Xenopus tropicalis: one gene and its partners. The protein of the gene in region 3 interacts with the protein of the main gene of each other region in a biochemical or structural test. Links are inferred from orthologs where the notes say so. Each region holds a gene or a part of one and is shown on either strand. Other genes may lie near its edges.

Region 1 (5,073 bases), on a different chromosome or scaffold from region 3:
TACCCATAAACAACGTGGGGAAAATGACCTTCTCCTGCCTAGTAAAGGGGAAGAAAACACAGATTATTTCAGCCTGCAGGGCTCTGGCCAATGGGCATGTACAATGGTTAAGCGTGGCCTTTATTGTTCTGGATACAGATTAATTGGGGGGTTCTAGGTTTGTACGGCGCTGCTGCTCATGTCGGAACCTACCCCTTGTCGAAGAATGACGTGTGCCCCGCGTGGGAGTATTTTACCCCGCTGCTGTTTAATGCGCTGCTGCCGCCACCGCTGCTGTTCAAGCCGACAGGTGCGTAGGATTTCCGAGACGCCTGGTCCTTGGCAAAGTTCCTACATGCCGCTAATTTAGATTCCAAGGCCTGGGGGGGGAAGAGAAAGCAAAAGTTACTTCCCAGTATGCAGCGTCCTGGGGGGAAGGGGGGGGGGTCTGAGTGGGGGGGGGGGGGCTAGGAGTTAAAGTGGTTGTTAAAGGGACAGACTTGTTCAGTGCTGGGAAACTGTGCTTATTGCTCCCAACTCCAATTGCAGGAACAGAGAACAGGGAGCCGGATTTACTCACATCAGCTGGGATTCTCATTGGGGGAAAGTTTTACAGGTCCTTTTCAAAAAATTAGCATATTGTGATAAAGTTCATTATTTTCTGTAATGTACTGATAAACATTAGACTTTCATATATTTTAGATTCATTACACACAACTGAAGTAGTTCAAGCCTTTTCTTGTTTTAATATTGATGATTGTGGCATACAGCTCATGAAAACCCAAAATTCCTATCTCAAAAAATTAGCATATTTCATCCGCCCAATAAAAGAAAAGTGTTTTTAATACAAAAAAAGTCAACCTTCAAATAATTATGTTCAGTTATGCACTCAATACTTGGTCGGGAATCCTTTTGCAGAAATGACTGCTTCAATGTGGCGTGGCATGGAGGCAATCAGCCTGTGGCACTGCTCAGGTGTTATGGAGGCCCAGGATGCTTCAATAGCGGCCTTAAGCTCATCCAGAGTGTTGGCTCTTGTGTCTCTCAACTTTCTCTTCACAATATCCCACAGATTCTCTATGGGGTTCAGGTCAGGAGAGTTGGCAGGCCAATTGAGCACAGTAATACCATGGTCAGTAAACCATTTACCAGTGGTTTTGGCACTGTGAGCAGGTGCCAGGTCATGCTGAAAAATGAAATCTTCATCTCCATAAAGCTTTTCAGCAGATGGAAGCATGAAGTGCTCCAAAATCTCCTGATAGCTAGCTGCATTGACCCTGCCCTTGATAAAACACAGTGGCCCAACACCAGCAGCTGACATGGCACCCCAGACCATCACTGACTGTGGGTACTTGACACTGGACTTCAGGCATTTTGGCATTTCCCTCTCCCCAGTCTTCCTCCAGACTCTGGCTCCTTGATTTCCGAATGACATACCTTGGACCACTGAGCAACAGTCCAGTGCTGCTTCTCTGTAGCCCAGGTCAGGCACTTCTGCCGCTGTTTCTGGTTCAAAAGTGGCTTGACCTGGGGAATGCAGCACCTGTAGCCCATTTCCTGCACACGCCTGTACACGGTGGCTCTGGATGTTTCTACTCCAGACTCAGTCCACTGCTTCCGCAGGTCCCCCAAGGTCAGGAATCGGTCCTTCTCCACAATCTTCCTCAGGGCCCAGTCACCTCTTCTCGTTGTGCAGCGTTTTCTGCCACACTTTTTCCTTCCCACAGACTTCCCACTGAGGTGCCTTGATACAGCACTCTGGGAACAGCCTATTTGTTCAGAAATTTCTTTTTGTGTCTTACCCTCTTGCTTGAGGGTGTCAATGATGGCCTTCTGGGCAGCAGTCAGGTCGGCAGTCTTACCCATGATTGCGGTTTTGAGTAATGAACCAGGCTGGGAGTTTTTAAAAGCCTCAGGAATCTTTTTAAGGTTTTTAGAGTTAATTAGTTGATTCAGATGATTAGGTTAATAGCTCGTTTAGAGAACCTTTTCATGATATGCTAATTTTTTGAGACAGGAATTTTGGGTTTTCATGAGCTGTATGCCACAATCATCAATATTAAAACAAGAAAAGGCTTGAACGACTTCAGTTGTGTGTAATGAATCTAAAATATATGAAAGTCTAATGTTTATCAGTACATTACAGAAAATAATGAACTTTATCACAATATGCTAATTTTTTGAAAAGGACCTGTATTGGGCAATATTGCTTTAAGAATACAGCCCTGATGTTGCTGGACTACAGCTCCCAGCATGCCTCACCCTTTATTATATGTTACATTATTCTGGGATTTGTAGTCCGGCAACAGCTGAGTAACGTTAGTTTGAGCCGTGCAGCAGGGTTTAGTTCCCCTTTAAAAGTTCTTCTCCACCATAATTACTTACCCCGACTTTCCTCAGCAGGTCCCCTACAATGTTAAGTGCTGATATTCGGGCAGAAGGTGTAAGTGGCGTTGTTCCGAAACCGTTTGGTATCCCTGCAACAGAAAGGAAACATGGCGTCACTCCACATGCGCTAACTGGCACCCAGTTTGTTGCTAGATAAACAAGACCCTAGCAACCAGATAGCTGCTAAAACGGAAAGCTGTTGAACAAAAAGCTAAATAACTGGAAAACCATAAAAATATAAAACGAAGACCAATAGCAAATTATCTCAGAATATCAATGTTTACCATAATATCATATAAAAAGTTAAAAGGGGAACTAACCCTTCAATATCTATTGTTACTGTGAGACCCGGATATGCAGAGCAAAGCTACCCCCCCGGGCCCCGGTAAGGAGTGATATGGGCCCCTAGCAGCAGCTGTCAGTGCACTCCATCTTACTAAAGGAAATCCCGTTTCAGTAAATTTCAGCTGCTTCTTGGGGTTTTTAAAGGGGAACTAAACCCTATTCATTCTATAACATACTAAAGAGAGAAGCCTGCAGCTCTACAGGGATTCCCCTAAACAAACCAGGGAAAATCCACCCCGGAGATGCGGAGAGTCCCATTCCATGTACTTGCCGTCACTGGGGCAATTATGGTTTGTTTGGGGGACGCCCACTAAATACCCTGCCCCCCCCGCAGATGAAGGAAAGCCCCTTTGCGGCGGCGCAGAAACCAGACCAACCTTTGGGTGGGGTGAAGCTGTTATCGGATACTTTGCCCACGGGGGTCGCTGGGAGGGAGAGAGAAGCCTGCACGGCCGAGTCGGTTTTATCACAGTCCAGAGTGGGCGAACTGGGGGCCGATTTCCTCGTGCCGTCCGTCTGTCTCTCCCGTACGGCTAATTCCTGCCTCAAGTCTGCGCAAAATAATAAGGGCACAGCCATGATATACACCCCTGCCGTATGTATACACTCGCACATATACACCCCCGCCGTATGTATACACTCGCACATATACACCCCCGCCGTATGTATACACTCACACATATACACCCCCGCCGTATGTATACACTCACACATATACACCCCTGCCGTATGTATACACTCGCACATATACACCCCTGCCGTATGTATACACTCGCACATATACACCCCCGCCGTATGTATACACTCGCACATATACACCCCCGCCGTATGTATACACTCGCACATATACACCCCCGCCGTATGTATACACTCGCACATATACACCCCCGCCGTATGTATAACACTCGCACATATACACCCCCGCCGTATGTATACACTCGCACATATACACCCCCGCCGTATGTATACACTCGCACATATACACCCCCGCCGTATGTATACACTCGCACATATACACCCCCACTGTACGTATACACTCACATATACACCCCCACTGTACGTATACACTCACATATACACCCCCGCCGTACGTATACACTCACATATACACCCCCGCTGTACGTATACACTCACATATACACCCCCACCGAACGTATACACTCACATATACACCCCCGCCGTACGTATACACTCACATATACACCCCCGCCGTACGTATACACTCACATATACACCCCACCGTACGTATACACTCACATATACACCCCCACCGTACGTATACACTCACATATACACCCCCACTGTACGTATACACTCACATATACACCCCCACTGTACGTATACACTCACATATACACCCCCACTGTACGTATACACTCACATATACACCCCCGCCGTACATATACACTTGCACATATACACCCCCGCCGTACTTATACACTTGCACATATACACCCCCACCGTACCTATACACTTGCACATATACACCCCCGCCGTACATATACACTTGCACATATACACCCCCGCCGTACATATACACTCACATATACACCCCCGCCGTACTTATACACTTGCACATATACACCCCCGCCGTACATATACACTTGCACATATACACCCCCACCGTACGTATACACTTGCACATATACACCCCCACCGTACGTATACACTTGCACATATACACCCCCACCGTACGTATACACTTGCACATATACACCCCCACCGTACGTATACACTTGCACATATACACCCCCACCGTACGTATACACTTGCACATATACACCCCCGCCGTACGTATACACTTGCACATATACACCCCCGCCGTACGTATACACTTACACATATACACCCCCGCCGTACGTATACACTCACATATACACCCCCACTGTACGTATACACTCACATATACACCCCCGCCGTACGTATACACTCACATATACACCCCCACTGTACGTATACACTCACATATACACCCCCGCCGTACGTATACACTCACATATACACCCCCGCCGTACGTATACACTCACATATACACCCCCGCCGTACGTATACACTTGCACATATACACCCCCGCCGTACGTATACACTCACATATACACCCCCACTGTACGTATACACTCACATATACACCCCCGCCGTACGTATACACTCACATATACACCCCCGCCGTACGTATACACTTGCACATATACACCCCCGCCGTACGTATACACTCACATATACACCCCCACTGTACGTATACACTCACATATACACCCCCACTGTACGTATACACTCACATATACACCCCCGCCGTACGTATACACTCACATATACACCCCCACTGTACGTATACACTCACATATACACCCCCGCCGTACG
Region 2 (5,073 bases), about 30 Mb from region 3:
TTTTTTTTAACTTCAAGCTCCCCAATATCGCCCACCCGTGGGGATATCGGGGGAAGATCCGCTCGCTTGGCGATCTCGCCAAGCGAGCGGATCTTACCGTGTATGGGGACCTTTAGATTTTCAAATCATCTTCCTTTATTGCAGATCTAATTTCTTTGTTTTTTTTCTCTCCCTCTAAAGTTGGTAAACACATTCTTCAGTTTTCTGAGGCGCAAGACTGACTTCTTTGTTGGAGGAGAAAATGCTGCAGCTGAAAAGGTGAGAAAGAGCTGAACAGTTGTTCACCAAATTTTTGCAGAAATGCATTATATTCGTGTTGAAAGCAAGGTTACAAAAACAGATGAAGCCAGCTAATATGCTCTTTCAATATACAGTATGTTGGCTAACTCATCAATACACAGCATGTTAACTAGTTCAGTCTGTTCTTCATTAGGTTTCTTATCTGGCCTCCACATCTATGATTACATGTATACTCCTTGTTGACCTATAATTTTTTTCCAGATACTCAAGTTTGATACATTGTCATTTGTTTGATATACGATGTGACTAGTTAGTTGTTCCCTGGAGAATGTTTTTCTATGTATTCTTTTTTTTTTTTTTTTTCTAATTTCTGTTATAATCAGTTTGTTAGAACAGTTTCTCCACAGGGGGCAAACCTACATTATGGTTTGTTGATAAATGTGGCAGCAGATTCTCAGCAACACAATAATGTTGTGAGAAAAGCTGTTGATAAACAGGCTGATGCGAGTTGCCTACTCCAAATTGAGCTGAAAGCCTGTTGGTCTATGTATGGGCCATAACCATGGCCGGCCTGTTGTCTATTGGGCAGACTAGAAAATCCAAGGACAGCATTGGGCTTTTAATTTGATTGTTGTCACTGTGGGACAGTTGAATGGATAAACCCAACTGACCAAGTGGTCAGTTTCAGCAAAGGGTTTCCAAAATTTGTTTTTTCTCTACTTACATGTTTCTTTCCCTTTAATGCAGAGATATACTGTGTGAATGTACAAATTATTTTTTTTTTTCTACAGCTCATCACCCAGGCCTTCAACCACCACAATAAACTAGCTTTAGCAGCTCAGAAACAGAAGGATGCTGATCGTCTGGAGAGAGAGGCTGTGAGGCAAGAACGGGAAGCCAAGAAAAAAGAAACGGAAGCTGGAGAGTCCAGAATCACAGAGCTCACTGATGAGGAAGCAGAGAGACTACAAAAAGAAATTGATAAGGTTAAACACTAGAAAATGAGAAGCCATCACTTATTATATTTCCAGCAGTGCAAATATTTTTAAACATTTTTTTTTTGATTTGCAGAACAAAGAGAAAGAGAAGGCAACTAGAGAGACAGAGGAGAAACCAGAGCCTGAGAAGGTAAGGTTATAAACAACAACAAATAACTGTTAGGAGAAACACTGATGTGCTCTTGGAAAAATATGATCAATGTAAAGTGATGTCTCAGCAATAGTGAAGGAGGAGAATAATAGGCTGTGATTGCTGGTTTTTGTATTCTGTAGGATGGAGAGGAAGAAAAGGAGGAGGAGGAAGAAGATGATGAGAAAGATAAAGGAAAGCTCAAACCAAATTCAGGAAATGGAGCCAACCTTCCTCATTACCGCTGGACACAAACCCTCTCTGAGGTTGATGTAAGTGTTTGTAAAGAATGTTGCTAAATATTTAGTCGCGTGTGATGTCCATAGAAAGAGCCTGGACAAAGGGAACTAAAAATTTTACCTCACAATTTTTTTTAGTTTGTTTTGTGGATTTTTATAGATAACTTTCCTACCATTTTAGCTCCAATACTTTATTCTTAAACAGCTGTCAGACACAGTGGTTTCAGACATGCTGTTTTCCAGACTGGTGTCCTAACATTAATCTATGTGCATATATATGCTAAAGACCACTGACACAGAGGAAATGACAGCAGTTACACCACTGACTGGGCAACCAGCTCAGTATTGCATGAGGAGAGGTTTTTTTATGCAAAATCTGCTCTTAGTATTGTTTGTTATTCCTGTACATCTGAGTTTTTGTTTAGATTTGTGGGGATGAATAATTGTTTTTGGTGTTTTTCCTAGTAAAAATGTGACAGATTTTTTTTTTTTTTACAAGGGGAGAGACTGAACTACCTACTGTGACCCTCCATAGATCTTAAAGGAGAAGGAAAGGCTAATAAAGAGTTAATCTCAAGCTGGGAGTGAGTTCTTAGCATTCTTGAGGGAGGGGGGAGCAAGAGAGAGGAGACAGCAGAAAGCTGTGTGTCTCTGGCACAGGAATTACCAACACAAGAAATCTTTTCACAGAGAAGTCAGTGCAGCGTTTCTGTGAGTGCTTATGGCTGTATTTACATAGACCTTTCTGATAAAGCTTACTTAGTTTTTACCTTTCTTTCTCCTTTAAAAGAGATACTGACAACAGAAATCTAACCATTTTTACATCTGTCTTAACATTGTCTTTGCATGTTTTTTTTACTTAAAAGTATTTGCTCGATGCGTTTACATTCCTGATCCCCTATGTTCCTCTATGAGGGGGCTGCCATATTTGTGCAGCAGTAGTCCTTTAGCATTAGAAACTGTTAAAGTAGAAGGAAAGGTAAAAACAAAGTAAGTTTTATCAGAAAGGTCTATGTAAATATGCCATAAGCACTTACAGTAATGCTGCAGTCCTCTATGAAAAGAGGCACAGGATTTCTTTTCTCCTATTTTGTACACGTTCTTAGGGTATCTGACTTCCTCTCTCAGAAAAATCCTTCATACCCAGGCCAGAGTCTGAGCAGTTCTCTCCCATAAGAATTCATAAAACCCACTCCCCCCACCCTTAAGAATGCGTAATCTAAACTATAACGGCTAAACTGCAAGCAGGAAGCTATGAAGATCAAGATAAAATGGCAGCTGCAATCTTAAGCAAACAGTGAAAACTTCTAGGGCTCTCTACTCGGGTATAGTAAAGCTTTCTGCAGAATAAATATAGCATTCCAAGTGGCACTAATGTGGTAAATCTATTGGTAGTAAAATGCTGAAATGACTGTCCCTTCTTAATCTGCCATTTAAAGCAGAAGGAAAGTCATGTTGGCAAAAGAGTCAGGTTTAGGAACTTCCAGTAACAATTACTTACAAAAGCAGCCCTATCAGTGAAAAACAATCAACATGACCTATAGGTAATATTTAATGTACATTAATATTTTGAAGAGCAGTTTTTTTAGTGTCAGTATCACTTTAATAAGAGATTACAGATCTGGCAATCATCCAGGTATATGTTTAAGCCAGGCAGAGTGTTCGCACTTTGGCATGCTCATTTCTGCTCATAGAAGCACCAATATTTGCAGTTCCATTAGTTTCCAAACAAACTGCATAATGATTAGTTCATATGTGGACCCCTATTTTGGTTTGGATGATCAAACCACAAAAATTAATGTGGAAGAAGAACTGATTAATTATATGTTACTAAATATGTTGTTATATGCCAAACCATACAACTTATTGGGCCAACAACTGTGGTGAGCGATTGGACCAACCAACATACAGGATGTTCAGTTGGATCAGAGCAACATGGTCATCTGTGTGGGTGAAACAACCAACTAGTCAACCTATGGTAACTGTTGGATATCTTGTTATTTGGCCCATTAGAAATCAGCTTTATGTGAATTTGGATAAAGTTGTTGAATAGCCTTACATACTAGTAAAAAAGTAATTTTTGTATTGCTCCCTCCCTGGAGGTAAGGAGCTGACCTGAAAGTTGGTTCAGGGTTGTGTCTCACTGTAACTGGATTTGGTTGGGTCTAATTTAGAGGCTTTACGTGGCCGGGTCTCTTGTGCTTTACATGCTTTTATTACAGTGTTCATCTGGTTGCACGTGGAAGCTAGCATGTTCAGCAGCAGTTAAACAGCCAAAGGCTATTTATGCTATATCTTAATAGTTCTAAAAACACAGTTAAAGGAGAAGAAAAGGCTAATAAAGTGTTAATCTCAAGCTACAGACATACCTTCAGTTCTCTCAATAGTGCCCCTTAAGTCTCTCCATATTTTCCTGTTCAGATGATCTGAAGCGTCATAGTAAAAAGAAATGCTGAGCTCTGTAAACAAAATTCCCATAATGCCAAGTTCCTGCACCAAGACCAAGACCCATGTACATGTGCAGTGTGTAAGACTATGAGGAAGCTTCCTGCTGTATAGCTCAGATCACTAATTCCTAAGGGAGAGGGGAGCATAGACTCTGGCATAGGAAAAAAGGAGACAAGAAATCATGTGTTTCTTTTGATAGAGAACTCAGTGCAGCTTTTCTGTGAGTACGTATAGCTGTATTTACATAGACCTTTCTGATAAAGCTCACTTCGTTTTTACCTTTCCTTCTCCTTTAACGAGGAAGCATTTTGTTTTCTAAATTCTATAGCTGTTTATGCAACTTTATGCAACTTTTTGCAAACTGCTGATTAAAGGAATACTGACAGTATATAATTTCAATAATTTCGTCCCCAGGACCTGATAGCCTGGTGATGGTACCTTTTTGAATTGCTGTATTTTCAAAACTAAAGCAGCCTGAAAATGTTAGCACGACTTCTTAAGTAGAGCTTTAGGCAGTAAGGTTACTGAATGCAAGCTCGACTACCTAAGAAGAGCTTAATGCAGTAGGGTTACTGAGAGCAACTATAGTGAAGAACAACCAAAAACCCAACTTCTGGTTCTGCATAGGCACTGTGGATTGACTCCTGTCTAAAAGTTTAGGGGATGTAGTCTCAAAATTATACTGACTAGCAAAACAATGTACCACGTCCAGAACATGTGGCATATATGAAACCTTGTACCCCAGGCTGGTGCCCCTGTTCGGAGAGAACAGCACCAGCCTGTGGTACCTGTAGCGCTTCCTCCTTCCTGCCTCAGTGCGCGCGCATGTGCAGTAGAGTGAAAAAGCCGAACTTTAACAGAGAAGTCGGCTTTTCACTCTACTGCGCATGCGCCTGTCGTTTAGTCCTTGCAAAACGAAGCCAGAAGGAGGAAGCGCTCAGCTACAGGTACCCTGGGCTGGTGCTGTTTTCTCCTAACAGGGGTACCAGCCTGGGGTACAAGGTAAGCGTAAGTCACT
Region 3 (5,501 bases):
GGGCTAGTCAACAAAACCAGAATGCATGTAACATGGCCGAAAGCAAGAAAAAAGTTTAAATGCCCATGAAAATCAAATACATACTATAGCTGCTTAACAGCAATTAGTACATTTATATTTGAATAAAATATTGAGATACCAGCTTGATAACAATTTATACTATTATACTATACAGATAATATTTAATATAACTTTTTAAAGATGCAATGATAGAACAACTTTCAAAGCATTAATCAGGCACTGCATTGTAGGAGTGGCTTTCCATAAGACAAAGAATGAGCTTTATTTAAAAAAATAAAAACAAAGAAAACAAAAGAGTAAGGATAAACCACATTAAAACCACTGGGTAAAGGGTTTGTCACTCCTGGACAGAAATTTTAAAAAAAGCTTTCTGTAAAGCAAAAGTAGAAAATAGGGTATTAGTGTATACAAAATGTTAACCCTTCTATGTAAAGTAACAATGCAGAGCATTCCATTACTAATATACTAATATAAAATATCCTAACATTTAATGAACTGTAAAAGTTCACGGATAATCTGGCAACATACCTTTAACCAAGCAATTGATGCAGAGGAAATCAGAAGTAATAAAAATATCTCAGCAATTAAATGTCACAATGTGGGTATATGGTGTTTTACAGAGCCTTTGTTGTAAAGTCCAAGCATTTGGATATCCAGGAAGCAACATTTCACCACTGATAACGAAAATGGAAGTAAACAATGTTTTTTTGTTTTACTAAATAGCTCAAATTCAACCCAAAACTTAAGGTTTATATAGTGACATTTTAGTCAGGCTGAGATGCTAGAATCCCTTTAAAACACTGTGGAGAGTTTACTGTCACCAGACAAATAAAACAATAAATATTTATTCTCCACATAAACAAGATAAAATATAAAACAATTGTCTGATAGTATTAATTATATAAAGTAAAACCTCAACAAGTGTATAGAAGAAAAAAAAAAGCAAAAGCTTTGTTTAAAAGAAATTTTCAGTTTCTTAATTGCTCAGATTTAGTCACATAATTTGGTACTGTGAAGCTGTGTAATCCTGAATGATGCCAAATACACTATTTTAGCAGAGCTGCAGAGCCAAAGCATCGCCTCTGCCTCCTTACTCCACCCAGTTTCCTCTCTGTCCCTGTTTGACGGCGGTGCGCAGTATCCTTTATTATGAGCCCAAAAAAAAAAAAAAAAACCAGACAAACAACAAAATCGCTTCTATCCAATTGAACACATTGGGAAGCATCTAAACACACACATCTATATTATAAATATTTTAATTATCGAGATAGAAATATAGAAACTATGTTTTCTCTTCCAGAATACTAATGGTTAAGGATAAATTGCACAAGAACCATCAGCAACATGCAAACACAGGGCAGTTTTACAGCACTCAAAGATGAACACGCAACCCATAAAAAAATAAAATAAAACAGGGTTACAAATGCCTAGTCATGATTAAAATTCCTGGCGTAAGCAATATATTGTTCATTTGTTAATCTGAATGCCTTACATAGGCACACATGACAGAGATTTAAAAAAAAAAAACAGCTTTTCTAGAGAAATAACAAAGCATGGATTTAAAGAAAAATAGCACTTATCACCTTTAGAAAACCAAATGAGAGAATGGATGTCAGATTTATAGCAGACTTATTGATCTGCTAAAACATTAGGAGAAAAGATACCCATGTTTTACAAAATAAGTATGAAACATTTGTATCCGGATGACTAGTGCAGGTAATTACCATTAGTTTCAGCCATCATAATTTCCCATGTGTCAATCCCAACTCTTGCTGCAAGCCTTTCAAGTGTCTGACTTGCAACATGTACACACCTATACAGCATCGCATAATACACATAGCCCTTTATGGACTTAACCCATCATCCCTATCCTTGGAGACACCAGGGCATGACAATGTAAATGAATGTTATCATGATGTGAGCACTCAACTATAAAAGTTATATGTCAGAAGACTTAAATGGCAGCACTTGCATGACACAAAAGATGACAAATGTCACTTCTAGGCCCACCCCCCTGTTTTTCTTGATGTTCCGCACAAGAAGAGGCCCTTATGTAATGCTGTTTAGAGATGTAGCCTTGTCCAGATGGTGAAGACATCCCCGTTAGCAAGATGTTGCAGGAAGAATTAAAAATAACATAATACTGGAAAAGGTGCGGGGGCGGGCGTGTACAAACATGGAATGCCCCTGCCACACACGAGTTAAATTGATACACAGCAGTTATCTCGTTAAGGTGAAAGTCCTTTTATTAGTAAACGGCTTATCAAATGAATCAACTGAATCCACATTATATGCTTTTAACTGAAACTATGCATTTATGACACAGAAGTGAAATTGAAATTCATTTCCACAGAAACATTCATGTGCCCCCCAGGCACAGCTGGCTGAAAGTTGCAGTTCAACGACAATTAGTAGGCCACAAACACACACATCACTGCAGCAAAGAATCATATAAATAAGGGCTAGTAAATCATTAATCAAGGGCACAACAGACATCAAACCTGCAGCTCTAAACAAGTGGGGGTACCAGACCATCCCTTGATGCTTATAGCATATACATGTCTGAGGATTCACTGATTGTGATGTCAAAGACGCCCTACCCTATGTTCTCCAGTTGCTGCTGAACTCTAACTCCCACCATCCTTTGACAGCTGGGAAAAATGGTTCTGCAATAGCAGGAGGTGCAGGTTTTATAGCCAAGCTACAGCATTAGTAGGCATGTTGCTGTAATGTACCATTAAGGCGTCTTGTTTAAAGCGATGATCTGGCAAACTGCACCCCCACCCCTCCACAAACAACACCCACAAGCACCCCTATTATAAGCCTTCCAAGCAGAAGACTGGGGGAAGCAGCTCATGAAACAGCTGGGAAGGTGCAAGCAGGAGATCCTTGCCTAAAGCTTTCCTGTTCCACCCCCCTGCGGGCTAGGAACAGTAACGGCTGGCCGCCATTTTGAGAAAGTGAGAGAGAGGAGAAGATGAAGGAGGGAGGGGAGGAGGCGGCGGCAGCAGCAGCAGCAGCCACATCGTCAGACAAGGCCTTGCATCCCGCCTCTCTCCCGCCCGGTGATCTAGCCGGGCACTTACCGTGCAGGGTTATCCCAAGCACACAGCGGGAGAAGGATTTCTTCTCATGGCCGCCGGGCAGCTCCCCTGGGCAAGGTCTCTGGAAGGGCGGGGGATGAGGCTCCCAGTTAGAGCCTGACGAGGTGACAAGAAATCAAATAAATAAAAATAAAGAGCTTGGGTGTGGAGGTCGGCGGGGCTCGCTTGTATGTACGTTGTTTCCTGTCAAATTGCACTGAATCCGTCTTCTCTGCAGCTATTCCTTTCTAAGGGTCCGTGCCTCCCTTTCTTCTCCGTGGTTTCCGCCGGGGCTCTCAGGGAAGCCGCCGCCGCCACCGTGCTGTCAGCGAAACGGAGCTCAGGAGCGCGGTGACGTCATATCAACCGCTGAAGGAGAGGAGGAGGAGGGAGCGACCGGCCGGCTGTGGGGAGTGGGCTTGCTTAATCGGGAACCGCGCCTGCGCCCTAGCGGCGGCTGCCTAGGCGTGGACGAGGAGGGGGAGAGATGGGGAGGGATGACAAAGGCAAATGACGCAGGGAAGGCGGAGAGCGCAGGCGCCATTATGACGGAAGAGGGAGCATGCTTGCCCTTCGCGTTCACGTGAAAGGAGAGTTTGTTTGTGCAATTCCTGCGCTCCCCTGTGTGACAGCTGTCTCTGTGTGCGTGAGAGTCAGTACTCTGTATGTGTGTGTGAGAGAGTCAGTACTCTGTATGTGTGTGTGAGAGAGTCAGTACTCTGTATGTGAGAGAGTCAGTACTCTGTATGCGTGTGAGAGTCAGTACTCTGTATGCGTGTGAGAGAGTCAGTACTCTGTATGTGTGTGAGAGAGTCAGTACTCTGTATGTGAGAGAGTCAGTACTCTGTATGTGTGTGAGAGAGTCAGTACTCTGTGTGTGTGAGAGAGTCAGTACTCTATGTGTGTGAGAGAGTCAGTACTCTATGTGTGTGAGAGAGTCAGTACTCTGTATGTGAGAGAGTCAGTACTCTGTATGTGTGTGAGAGAGTCAGTACTCTGTATGTGTGTGAGAGAGTCAGTACTCTGTATGTGTGTGAGAGAGTCAGTACTCTGTATGTGTGTGAGAGAGTCAGTACTCTGTGTGTGTGTGAGAGAGTCAGTACTCTATGTGTGTGAGAGAGTCAGTACTCTATGTGTGTGAGAGAGTCAGTACTCTGTATGTGAGAGAGTCAGTACTCTGTATGTGTATGTGAGAGAGTCAGTACTCTGTATGTGTGTGTGAGAGAGTCAGTACTCTGTATGTGTGTGTGAGAGAGTCAGTACTCTGTATGTGTGTGTGAGAGAGTCAGTACTCTGTATGTGTGTGAGAGAGTCAGTACTCTGTATGTGTGTGAGAGGTTGGGAGTCAGTACTCTGTATGTGTGTGAGAGAGTCAGTACTCTGTATGTGTGTGAGAGAGTCAGTACTCTGTATGTGTGTGAGAGAGTCAGTACTCTGTGTGTGTGTGAGAGAGTCAGTACTCTATGTGTGTGAGAGAGTCAGTACTCTATGTGTGTGAGAGAGTCAGTACTCTATGTGTGTGAGAGAGTCAGTACTCTGTATGTGTGTGAGAGAGTCAGTACTCTGTATGTGTGTGAGAGAGTCAGTACTCTGTATGTGTGTGAGAGAGTCAGTACTCTGTATGTGTGTGAGAGAGTCAGTACTCTGTATGTGTGTGAGAGAGTCAGTACTCTGTGTGTGTGTGAGAGAGTCAGTACTCTATGTGTGTGAGAGAGTCAGTACTCTATGTGTGTGAGAGAGTCAGTACTCTGTATGTGTATGTGAGAGAGTCAGTACTCTGTATGTGTGTGTGAGAGAGTCAGTACTCTGTATGTGTGTGTGAGAGAGTCAGTACTCTGTATGTGTGAGAGTCAGTACTCTGTATGTGTGTGCGTGAGAGTCAGTACTCTGTATGCGTGAGAGTCAGTACTCTGTATGTGAGAGAGTCAGTACTCTGTATGTGAGAGAGTCAGTACTCTGTATGTGTGTGCGTGAGAGTCAGTACTCTGTATGTGTGTGTGAGAGAGTCAGTACTCTGTATGTGAGAGAGTCAGTACTCTGTATGTGTGTGTGAGAGAGTCAGTACTCTGTATGTGAGAGAGTCAGTACTCTGTATGTGAGAGAGTCAGTACTCTGTATGTGAGAGAGTCAGTACTCTGTATGTGTGTGCGTGAGAGTCAGTACTCTGTATGTGTGTGCGTGAGAGTCAGTACTCTGTATGTGTGTGAGAGAATCAGTACTCTGTGAGAGCGTCAGTACTCTGTATGTGTGTGAGAGAGTCAGTATTCTGTATGTGTGTGTGAGAGAGTCAGTATTCTGTATGTGTGTGAGAGAGAGTCAGTATTCTGTATGTGTGTGAGAGAGTCAGTATTCTGTATGTGTGTGTGTGTGTGAGAGAGTCAGTACTCTGTATGTGTG
Region 4 (5,073 bases), on a different chromosome or scaffold from region 3:
CCTCCATGGTAGGAGGGGGTTCAATATCTGGGAATCACTACCTTATACACAAATAAGTGTGCTTCTTGCTACCTGGACTCTTTCCATGTTCCTGACTTGTCTCACATGATTAACCTATTCAGTACCAACACAATGTTCGGATCACCATAACTTAACTCTACTAAAAATAATTTTAACATGAAAGAAACCCAATAGGATCCATGCAGTTTAGTGACCAACAAGTACAAAGTACTGGTTTATTATTCCAAAGGAAAAAACAAGTTATTTGCTTTAATGAACTCTATGGGAGAACTTTAGGATATTTATACCCATATGTATACCTGTATCATACCTCCCAAGTGTCTCTCATTGTGCGGGACAGTCCCGAATTTATGCTGGCTGCACGCAGTCCTGGATTACCTATTAAATGTCCAGCATTATCAGAAAGTCTATAGATGGCTGACAATTCATATTCACAGACCTCAGACCTGTGGCAAATTTGTAAGGCTGTACGTGCAAACATGACGTAAAAAGGGGCGTATTTTTGAGGGCAGACATGTAAACTAAGGGGGCGTGGCTTTTTGTTCAGAACAGCCGTCCCGCTTTTCAGTTTCTAAAATGTTGAAAGGTATGCTGTATTCTCTATCCAATGATGGGCTTGTGGGAATACTTAGGGACCTCTAATTAAATACATTTGTGGGTGAATTTTTAATTTTAGGGTCCTCAACAATCTCCAAGACTGACGTATCTTGTAGAAGACTTTTTATTCCCTGCTATTGTTTCACATTAGTGAGATGGAGGGCTGCCATAAGTCCATATGTATAGAATTACTCTAGAGCACTGCAACATTTTCCATTGAATGACTTGGATTAGTTTTACCATATATATCCACGTGCCTCTGAGCCACACTTTATTAAATATGATGTCATATATTGGAAATATGGAATGCACTTGGGGGGCAGCCAAAATCCCTGTATGGTTTTATTATTATCACAGGCCTAAGTTTAAATACCACTTGGCTTCTTAACTACATCCTCCAGCCAAGGAGCGAACTTGTGTAAAACTAAGTTAGCGAAGCATTTAGCAAGTTGATGAACCTCATATCCAGAGACAATGGCCATTCCTTATCCAGGTCAACCCCAAATCCTGATTTTTGCACTTATGGCCAATTATGACATAATTCTGTACATTCTTCTATGAAACAGAAATCATATAATGAATCATATGTTGCTCTAAATAACCAATCCCCCGGAGCAGTGGAAAGGTAAATACATTTGGTTTGCACTATGACTTTAAAGACCATATCCATTTTATATACATGAACCTTGTAATTGCCAATCGATAAACATATTCTGCCAACCATTTTACTGCCAGGGTTATACCATTAAATAAAACATTTCTATTCATCATTTGGGCTGCGAAATCTGCTGCAAATGGAACTCCTGTATAATAGATGTTGCATCCAAACTGAGAGGATGACAAATCAATTATCCCATACCCCAATGGGGCTCATTTACTAAGGAGTCATAACACAACTGTTGTTGCATTTTTTTGTTAAATCATTTGGTGGACTTACCTTCCTCTAACTCATCCATGTTGGCTATCTTGTTCATTCCATCAATGGTGTAGATAAAGCGAACCCCCTGGGGCAGATTAATGTTATCAGAAAGCGACCTGGTTAGATCAGCCAACAGCGCATCAAAACTTCGGAATCTGTCAGAGGACACCGCATAGACAATCCCCTTGAAGTAGCGATCTCCATTGCGGTAGAACCGGACCTTTTTGGCCTTCTTCTCGTTGCTCAGCGCCTGCAGGGTCCGGGTCCGGTAGAAGCTGCAGTGGGCGCTGTGAGTAGGGCTAGGCAAGCCATTCATTCGAGATGCTCGTGCGTTCCTGGAAGTCTTATCCCTCTCATCAAAGTGGCCAAAGTCAAGCTCCATTTCTCACTTCCTCTGGAAATCTAGAGAAATATCCATCCAAGAATATAAATGTAACATCCAACCAGACAATAACACCACCCCCCTGGTAGCATAAATAATTCCTTTTAGTCTTTAGCAGCAAATTCTCATGTTACTCAAAGTTTGTGAATAATTAATAGGCAAAGTAAATGTACTGAGCTAACAGATAAGTGCTGGGCCAGCTAATTGAGCGAAGCAGCATGGAAAAACCAGAATTAACACCTGAGCCCATATAAACCTGTTCTGTCTGGGCATCAAAGATTGATGAGTAAAGCTTTTCCTTGGTGATGTGATTTATCGAAGCTTTGTTTTGGAGCAGTAACATCCCTACGGTGCTACTATTGTGCACTTAGGAAGACCTCATTAAAATAAATGTGGATATACATAGGCATTAAATGTATGTCAGCCACACCCACTTACTCCCATGCAGTCAGGCAGCAAACTGCTCTGTTATAACAAAATCAGTTCAGTCTCATTAAGGAGAAAGGAGACGGCGGCCTCATCACAAAGAAAGTCATGGAAAGAAATCAACCCGTACAAGCAAGGACTTTTTTATAAACATTCTCCACATATTTCTGCACTATTGTTTTGGGAGTTCCCCTTTATACTGTATATACAGCTGTCTATAATGAAATATCTCTTCTATCCCCAAGATTTGGATTTTGACACAAAGAAAAGGAAATCTGAACAAGAAGCCGTTCCACCAAATGAAAACATATTTATTTATAAGCAATGTTCCAATATACATTTCAGTGGTTTGAAAGTTTTTGAAAGCAATATCTGTCTGGCTCTTTATATTCTTTGCTCTGTTGGTTCTGACTCCTGAGACCATGTAAACTGACATCCCAGCTGCAATGTTGGGAAAGGGATAAACACATACTGCTCTTCAGGGCAATTATATATATATACAGTATATATGGATAACTTTAAAACCACTGAAGAGCTTAAATGAACGTACAGGTATGGGATCTGTTATCCAGGAACCCGTTATGTAGAAAGCTCCAAATTACAGAAAGCCTTTCTCCCATGGACTCTATTTAAATCAAATAATTCAGATTTTTCAAATTGATTTCCTTTTTCTCTGTAATAATAAATTAATAATTATATCTTAGTTGTATTTGATCCCAACTAAGATATAAGTAATCCGTATTGGAGGCAAATCAATCCTAATGGGTTTATTTAATGTTTTATTGGTTTTTTTAGTAGACAAGGTGAAAAGTAGCTTAGAATTACATTTATTTCACTTTGCTAAAAACAGCGGTTTGGGTGTAGTTGCTCTTTAACACAAATTGATGGCTTTTCATCTAAATGCACTCGCCGCATATTAATCAGGGCTTTATTTTTTTGTGGCGGGGGTGGTGTTAAGGGTTTCCTGCTTAAATCAATATTACTTTCCAAGCAAATCCAATTGTGTTCTCCATGTGACTCCACCATCAGGAGCAGGTGTACTCTATAATCCTTTTGCACATTTCCTACATACATACTGTAGGCATTCCTTGCACATGTGCCATGATGTCATCTCTTTCATTCTGCCGCAGCCTCAGTCAACACAAAGGAATCAGTTGCCACGGCTGAGAGATGCCACAGCGAAGGCAATTACCACATGCCATATCCCACAAAAACCCTGTTACCAGAGGTGGGGAGGTCAGCATATTGCCAGGGTAAGGCAATATAAATTGCATAAGGAGGACCTGCCTATGATCAGCATTAAAAATGGTGTACATTCCGGCGAGAAAAGAACATTTACTGGAGGTACAGGTGTCACAAAAGAAGTGTATATAGAATGGAAATACACTACATTCATTATAAATCTGAAAATGATTAATGTATTTAATAATGCGGCATTGTAATAAGGTTTAACGTGCAAAGACTGTCACATAAGTTGTGCAAATAGCAAGTGACTGACAGACTACATGAAAGAAAGATAGATATAGAGATAGATAGATAGATAGATAGTTATAGATAGATATAGTCATTATATATAAATAGACCATGAGCAGATGAGCAATAGATGATAGATCTATAGATGACAGATTTGGACTCTACAATCATTAATTAGCCATCGAATAAAAAAATAAAATCATTCACTGATCTGCCCAGCAGCCAATTATCAGTGCCTGTACAGCAGTAAAGATCAGTGGGATATATGTTCAGTTGCAGGACGCACTAACAAAGGATTACAGATCAATAATGTGCAGCACCAAGCCTGTCCACACCCACTCACTCCTACACACAACCGAATCCCACTGGGGATTAGCAAGTCAAATTTAAGTATAATGCTGTCCTTCTGCTGCCACAAATGAGACAATGGCAACCCTAAGCCAGGAGTGAAATCCAGTGACATTAGAGGCAGTGACCAGTCATTGATCTGCAGTGGGAAGGGGGTGCCAGCATGGCACAGATAGCTCATGCCTTACCATTCACATTTAAACATATAACTGTGGCAGCAATAAAACAGACATAATGCTACCGAGCTGCCTCTGGGGGTTAAACTGCTGTAACAATTGGCCTCTCCCATTTTCTCACTGCATGGAGCACATGTTTTCAGGCCACCCTAAACCTCCCATTTTACTGTGCAAGGTGGGTGGGGGAGAACATGTTCCGATACACACAGATATGGAGAGGAGAAACCCACACCTGTTCCTGCATTGCACACTTCATTGTCTCCATAGTAGATCCCACTCAGTGAGATTATTGGCATTCTTTAGTAAGCTATGCCTGCGCTACCTTGTGCAGTAGTGCTTCTGATTGCATAAATGATGGGTTTAGCAAACCACTTTAAATGTCAATCTGCCACATAAATAATATCAATTAATAATCTGAATTCACCACAAATCATTATGTCTCATTGAAATGCACCATTCTATGCCTGTCTGCTGAGGAAGACTCCCCCGTACCAGCCCATGCTGTAATTCACAGATTCGCTAGCTGCTCCCCTTGGGGCTGTTACCTTAACAACCAGTCTGAGATACATGAGCATAATTCCATTCTCTGTCTGTCGCCTCTCTGGAGTAAGACCCTTTCCTTCCCCCAATCTGCAGTTTAACCCCTCATGTGCCTGACACACAGTATATAATTACTGCTTCTATAATGCAGGGTGAAATCAAACTGTCAGGTTGTCACAATCTACATGGAA

Evidence for each region.
Region 1: the proteins of pafah1b1 (region 3) and ndel1 form a complex in vitro, tested with the Homo sapiens proteins (3 studies listed by BioGRID). The link is inferred for Xenopus tropicalis from reciprocal best matches to the Homo sapiens genes PAFAH1B1 and NDEL1.
Region 2: the proteins of pafah1b1 (region 3) and nudc form a complex in vitro, tested with the Homo sapiens proteins (3 studies listed by BioGRID). The link is inferred for Xenopus tropicalis from reciprocal best matches to the Homo sapiens genes PAFAH1B1 and NUDC.
Region 4: the proteins of pafah1b1 (region 3) and dcx form a complex in vitro, tested with the Homo sapiens proteins (2 studies listed by BioGRID). The link is inferred for Xenopus tropicalis from reciprocal best matches to the Homo sapiens genes PAFAH1B1 and DCX.

What each region holds. Positions count from the first base shown.
Region 1 is NC_030686.2:49,764,949-49,770,021, forward strand, and holds part of ndel1 (nuclear distribution protein nudE-like 1), read right to left. Parts: intron 3,264-5,073; coding exon 3,090-3,263; intron 2,457-3,089; coding exon 2,365-2,456; intron 360-2,364; coding exon 193-359; intron 39-192; coding exon of another isoform or gene 4-38; intron 1-3. UniProt on the Homo sapiens protein: Required for organization of the cellular microtubule array and microtubule anchoring at the centrosome. May regulate microtubule organization at least in part by targeting the microtubule severing protein KATNA1 to the centrosome.
Region 2 is NC_030678.2:77,788,702-77,793,774, forward strand, and holds part of nudc (nuclear migration protein nudC), read left to right. Parts: intron 1-180; coding exon 181-258; intron 259-1,031; coding exon 1,032-1,226; intron 1,227-1,311; coding exon 1,312-1,368; intron 1,369-1,511; coding exon 1,512-1,640; intron 1,641-5,073. UniProt on the Homo sapiens protein: Plays a role in neurogenesis and neuronal migration. Necessary for correct formation of mitotic spindles and chromosome separation during mitosis. Necessary for cytokinesis and cell proliferation.
Region 3 is NC_030678.2:47,815,588-47,821,088, reverse strand, and holds the start of pafah1b1 (lissencephaly-1 homolog), read right to left. Parts: upstream 3,394-5,501; 5' UTR 3,108-3,393; intron 1-3,107. UniProt on the Homo sapiens protein: Regulatory subunit (beta subunit) of the cytosolic type I platelet-activating factor (PAF) acetylhydrolase (PAF-AH (I)), an enzyme that catalyzes the hydrolyze of the acetyl group at the sn-2 position of PAF and its analogs and participates in PAF inactivation.
Region 4 is NC_030684.2:51,680,272-51,685,344, forward strand, and holds part of dcx (neuronal migration protein doublecortin), read right to left. Parts: intron 1,940-5,073; 5' UTR 1,920-1,939; coding exon 1,556-1,919; intron 1-1,555. UniProt on the Homo sapiens protein: Microtubule-associated protein required for initial steps of neuronal dispersion and cortex lamination during cerebral cortex development. May act by competing with the putative neuronal protein kinase DCLK1 in binding to a target protein.